Kluyveromyces lactis: one gene and its partner. The protein of the gene in region 1 interacts with the protein of each later gene in a biochemical or structural test. Links are inferred from orthologs where the notes say so. Each region holds a gene or a part of one and is shown on either strand. Other genes may lie near its edges. The genes, in order: SVF1 and CKA2.

What was found.
Region 2: of the proteins of SVF1 (region 1) and CKA2, one has a biochemical effect on the other in vitro, tested with the Saccharomyces cerevisiae proteins (3 studies listed by BioGRID). The link is inferred for Kluyveromyces lactis from reciprocal best matches to the Saccharomyces cerevisiae genes SVF1 and CKA2.

The regions. Positions count from the first base shown.
Region 1 is NC_006040.1:1,145,677-1,149,007, reverse strand, and holds SVF1 (Svf1p), read left to right. Parts: upstream 1-1,362; coding exon 1,363-2,574; downstream 2,575-3,331. Other genes in the region: RRM3 (DNA helicase), read right to left, coding at 1-564. UniProt on the Saccharomyces cerevisiae protein: Ceramide-binding protein that may transfer ceramides from the endoplasmic reticulum membrane to the cis-Golgi network membrane, and is thereby required for the biosynthesis of complex sphingolipids. Required for survival in response to oxidative stress.
Region 2 is NC_006042.1:1,518,523-1,521,591, reverse strand, and holds CKA2 (casein kinase 2 catalytic subunit CKA2), read right to left. Parts: upstream 1,793-3,069; coding exon 770-1,792; downstream 1-769. Other genes in the region: KLLA0_F16489g (uncharacterized protein), read left to right, coding at 1-162; SLD7 (Sld7p), read left to right, coding at 2,253-3,035. UniProt on the Saccharomyces cerevisiae protein: Catalytic subunit of a constitutively active serine/threonine-protein kinase complex that phosphorylates a large number of substrates containing acidic residues C-terminal to the phosphorylated serine or threonine.

The DNA of each region.
Region 1 (3,331 bases):
GATGGATTGTCTTGGAATCGGCTTTACGCGCTTTACTGAGGAAAGAGATAACGCATTTGAAGATGAAGAACTTTGTGAACCATCTGATACATCAGAATACGTTCTCTTGACTCCTGATAATGTTCTTTCCAGCTTAGGTTTTTGCCAACTAGATTCAGTTGCAGTTGCAGTTGCAGTTGCAGTTGCAGTTGTGGAAGAAAAGTAACCCGATACTGTTGAAGTTTGGGACGAAAAGGAACTACCGGACTGACATTGAAACTGTGACGATGATAGGAACGTTTGAGATGATGGCTTAAAGTTTTTCACTGGTTTCTTTTCTCGTAGCAGACTGTAGAAATCATCATTTGATTCTTCTTCAAACGACCCTTGGGAATGCAAAGACGAAAGCACAGACTGTGTTCTCAATGCTTTCACTGGAGGAGAAACAGTTTTTTCAGTGAAGTGTGAATTAAAACTTGAAGATGATTCTAATGCGGGCTTATTCTTCACTTTGAAGAACATATTCAAGGTGCTCTGTCCATCTTTCTTCTTATTCTTCTTATTAGCATTAAGCTTATTCAGCATTTTATCCAATTAAAAACTGGTAAAAAGGCTACCGCAGCTCGTCCTATTGATTCAAGCAGGTATAAACTAGGTATGGACCAGAGATAGAGCGCTAATAGGGTATTTTTCCTGCTTCATCGATGGATCATGTATCAGTTTCTTACGTGTTTCTCGGTGATTTTGGTTTGTTGACATTTTGGAAATGCGTGTATTATCCGGGTAACAGTTGCTATTATTTGCCAAGCACTGATGCCGTGCTTACAAGGGCCCATCAGCATTGTTTACTGACCCCCATCTGAGATCTATTCCACCAAGTGATGGTACGGAACCCAAATGCTTTTTATTGGTGCTAATAGGGTCAAAGCTCCTCGTAAAACATCAGATCACGTGACTAGCTCGTTTCGCCCATACGAAAAAGAAAAAAAATCAACAAAACTCATCTCACTTAAGAAACGAAACTTAGAGAACAACAAACAACAAACAGTAAACGAGGGGGGCGAGACAAATACCAAAAACAGTCGTTATCAGCGCATCAGAACCAGTCCAGTAGTCATTGATTATAGTTATTGTACGGGTTTGCGTTCTATTTCTTTTCTATTTCATTGATTCTAATAAGTGAATTACAGAGTAAGTTCAGTCTCAAACCTTCTCATCGGTTTGTTTGATTTATTAGATTGCTGTAAGTCATAGAAAATAGCGAGTTATTTCTTTGTCATTTGAACATCGCACATCTACGCACACAGTATCAAGCATAGCTTTACTGTAAGAAATCTCGAGTTTGCATCGAAAGTTAAGCCTACAAATTTATTCACTATCGAAATGTTGAAGTGGATTCAAGGTGGTATTAGTGCCGTCACAGGGATTGCTGAGCCAGAATATGGCCAAGAGTACATTCATCCATGTACTGAAAGAGTTAAGGGTAAGCAGCCATTCCATGTTACTAGTACGAAGGATTTCGAGTGGAGGAATCCAGACTACACGAACGTTGAGACATCAACTTTTTACTTTACTGATCTGGAAACTGGATACACTGGGTTCGCTCAAGTGATCCATTCCAACATCATTGGATTGCATACTACTGCTCAGTTTACTTTCAGGATTTACCACAAGGAAAATACAGATGATCAAATTTGGACATCGGTGAAGTTAGAGAATTTCAGAATAGAGGGAACTAATTTCTACGCTGACAATCTATCTATTGTAATGAACGAAGAAGGTACCGAAGTGCAATTCAAGTCTACCGTGGACGAAAACGTCGAAGTGGATTTCACCATCCGTAGAGCAGTTGACGGTGTCAAAGTCGGTGAAGATCCATCCACTTACTACGGTGACGATGTTACTCAACCTTGGGGTAGTATGAGACATGTTTTCTGGCCAAGAAACCACATATCTGGTAAGATTGCTGCTAAGAATGAGGAAACTAATGTCAAGATCGATTTACAGTTTTCAGAAGAAAAGAAACATTATTCCATGTTCGTTTTCGCTATGCAAGGTATGAAACCACATCATGCTGCCAAATCTTGGACCTTTTTAAACTTCCAATCAGAGGACTACACTGCCGTGCTTATGGAATTCACCACGCCTAAATCATACGCCAACACTACGGTAAATATCGGGATTGTATGTGACACCAAGAACATTTTATCCGTGACAGTAGATAACGATGCTGAATATATCGACCCTGAAGTCGATTCTGTCGGATGGCCTGTACCAAAGGAAATCTCTGTCTCCTTTAACGGTATCAATGCCGACATCAAAGACGATGACGTTGAATCTGCTGATCCATTCAACACTATCGTCAAGGGTAAATTGGATAACCTGGTGGAAAGAGTCGACGTCATGGCTGAGATTCCAACTTTTGTCAAGAACATCGTTTCTGGTGTCGCTGGTACCAAACCGTATATCTACCAGTTTTTCGACGACTTCGAATTAACTATTAAAGACCAGGAATCGAAAGGTTTCGGGTGGTGCGAAATTACTTTCATTTCAGAATCATCTGAAGTGGAAGAATCTGCATACGATGAAAACTAGAACCTTACTCATAAAAAGTGCTTCCCTTCATCAATTTTTAACGTTTTAATATATCACTCTTATTTTTCTATTCTTTTCTTTCTCATCCTTTATTATTAGATACCAACACACGTTGATTAACCCCAACGTCTCTCCTCCAGCACTGTTCTACCTACTACTTTGATAAAGAGATAATACTAACACCGATAATAATTATAATAATAACAATAATCATATCACTAATATTTGCAAACCACTATTACTTTTCCCCCCAAATTCTTTTCGACAGTATTCCGTGAGCGCGTGCATGTACTATAGAAATACCGTATTTACTCACCTAGTTAGTTAGTTTTAAAGTAATATATTTCCCTCTTTTTTCGCTCACTTTAGTGGAATAGCTTTGTTTGCTTGAAATACCCGATTGACTTAATTAATCCGAATATGCGTGAATATATGCCGCAACGTACAATAGCGAAACTGGAGTCCCGTTTTTTGAGGCCTCTCTGTCTGGAGTTTTCATCTCGAGATCAATCTGGAGTTCCTCGTCTGGAGTTCTTCGTCTGGAGGTCCCCTTCTCGAGGTCCCCTTCTCGAGGTCCCCTTCTCGAGGTCCCCTTCTCGAGGTCCCCATCTGGAGTCTTACCATCTGGAGTTCCACTTTTAGTGCACTGGAAAAGGGCCAAAAAGGCCTCACCTTATGTGAGGGAAAAAAGGACCGGAAAAGTGCACAAGTCACGTGCGCACGAGGTTTGTATCAATAGATAGCACATTCATTAAAC
Region 2 (3,069 bases), on another chromosome or scaffold:
GTTCGCACAAGAGAGATCGATCATAGTGGTGTCATTTATGATGGAACTAGTGCCATCAACGATACATGGGCCAACGAAATGATTATGAGGCAGGATTGCTTCATTCTTGATGTCCACGACAGTGACGAGGAAAACGATGAAGATTACGAAATGGAACTGTAATCTGACTCGCCCAAGAAATCTGACCTCTTAAAAAATCCCATCCACTAACACAGCATACTACACGAAATCCGTCAAAGGTCTGGGATCTTTACGCATTTGATACCAAAAGATTGTTTTTTTCCCTGTGATTGAGAAATATAGACTAATAATAATGGCATTTTCAATTCTCATCACTGAACTTTCACCGCAATAATAGTTTCGATCATGGGTTTTTGTAACTATTTCCACCCTGTTTCATATTCCTTTGGTCTATTTCCTTTCCTACTTATAGTAGTGTCTCTCTCTCTGCGCCTGCGCTAGTAAGAGCCTTTTCTTTCAGGTTTGGTAGCTATTACACCTATTAATTATATATCCTTTTTAATGAATTAACGACTATCATAATATTACATCTTCTTTAAATCTTAAGCAAAAGAGACATGTGTTTCTGTCCTCTTTTTCAGGTGTTGTATTAATTATATGTTATTAGTATACATGCTTTTAATTGGAAAGCAATCAAAGACAGAAGAAGAATCCCCCAAAGTTAACCATAAATGGAAGATAAGAGGGAAAAGAAAATTTGATGATAGAGAGATGAGAAAACAGATATATATTACCGTTTAGGCATACACTATGAGAAATCTTTTTTGAAGAATTTATGCTCCATGGCTTCTTTTGCAGTTAATCTCTCTTGGTGATCATAACGTAGTAAATGGTCGATCAAATCAATTATTTCGTCCACAGCCAACGGCGTCTTATCATTGGCGAAATAGCTCCATGGTTTCCGTTCGTAGTTCTTCATGATATCGTTGTATTCTGCAGGAAGATCCAATCCGTAATGTTTCAAGTAATAGAATAACTCCTGCGTACCAAGTACCTTGGCAATTTTCACCAATTGATCTGCATTCGTGCTTCCTTTGAAAAATGGCTCCTTCTTGAAAACAATAGCTGCTATCATACATCCGACAGCCCACAAATCTAAAGAGTAATCGTATTGGTTTAAGCTCACCAAGAGTTCAGGTCCCTTGTGATAACGAGACGCCACCCTGATGTTATAATCCACTCCCGGATGGTAAAACTCTGCTAATCCCCAATCGATCAACCTTAGCTTACGTTCATTAGGATCAATCATGACGTTTTGAGGCTTCACATCACGATGCATGATACCCATCGAATGACAATAGTCTAAAGCAGTTAACAATTGTGTGAAATAAAATTGCGTATCCGATAATGTAAACGATGGATAAAGCGTACGGAAGTCGACATTTTTCACCTCTTCAAAGATCAATGCCGGGATTTTGGATCCTGGATCTTGAACAATATCCAATAATCCAATTATATTAGGTCCCCCTGTCAAATTAGTTAACACTTTTAACTCTCTATAAATTTTCTTCATCTTCACTGGCTTGAGAACCTTGATGACGCATGGTATATCGTTCAATACAGATTTCCCTTTGAAAACTTCACTGTATTTACCACGACCAATCTTTTTTATCACTTCATAGTTCGAAATCTTACCCCAATCAATCATCACGCATTGTTCATAATCCCAGTACTCTTGAGGGCGTTTCTCACAAGCATCCTGATACACCCTAGCAACGCTATAAACTCGTTTGCTCTTCTTATTCAACGCAGAAGGTTGTAACGTCGACATGATGAGAAGGAAATCAAAAAAAAAAAAGAGATGACCTCCCTTTTCCCGTTTTCAAAACTTAGAGTCTGATGTGATCCAAAACGGTACTCTCTAGCCTCTGTAGTCTCTAACCACTTCCAACTTCTGGCTGTCTATTGTTCAATTACGTTGAGCAATAACATTTTTTTTCTTTGCCTTCACTTTATTTCAATGTTGAAAACTGAAAGCATTTTGTTTGGAGCCGTGAAAGCGTCGAGAGAAAAAAGATTCGTATGGTAACAATGGATATAAGCTAAGCTTTTGCACCGTGAACCACAATACAACGGCGGACTTTCATATACAGGGAAACTAAGACTATAAAGGAGGTGAATACATTGTCTGGTCAGTTTCAAATTGTTAAGTGAAAGTAGCAAACGTGAAAGAAGACCTCGGTAGGCCTGGTATTAGGGGAATTGGACCTGGAGAGTTGCGCGATGAACCTATGACACTAGAAAAAGAACTTATCTTGAGGCTTAATGTGGGTCATAACACTGTGATAAGAGACGTCCAGTTGTGGCGTGAATTTGAGGACGGTGATGGCCAAATTGCAGTGAAAAATTGTCTGGCAGAAGTTGTTGGAATGGTCAACATTGATAAGCTGCCGTTTTGGCTCAATAGAGGTCAACGGTACCAATGCTTCACTACTAGCGAGACCAGCGTCAATTATTTCAGAGCGAAGTTGATGAGACAACGACACAGGAATCGAGGAATTGTATGTAAAGTAACGGGATCCCAAGTGTTGACGAAAGAGCAATTCGAATATTTCCTATTCTACAAGCGTTTGAAGACCGATATAAACGCGTCTTTCGAAATTGAATCGATGGTACTTCACTTATCGACTAAACACGAACTTGATAAGAAATTGATACCGTTATCAGCCGACGAACTACAATCTGTTGTGCCAAGTAACGCTGGAGCAACGATGTCGATCGAATCGATTCTAGAGAAGAACAAACGTCAGCGAATACTGAAAAGTAACTCGTTGAACAAACAAGTCTTGCTCAACGATCAACAGCAGCAATTTATGTCGTTGCTGTCTCAGTGCATACTTTCAGGACTCAGGCTACGAGGAGTTCATCGAACTCAACACGAAAAATTGTACAAGATGACGTACAAGGCGTCTGAATTCGCTTTCAGAGACGAACTCAGAGAAACTGAACCCATTAGTTTTGAATCGATCCAAGACTGTGTAGAAACACTACTGAAACTGTTTACGAAGACCTGACTTTCAAGAAGTACATGCATATACATAGACAAAA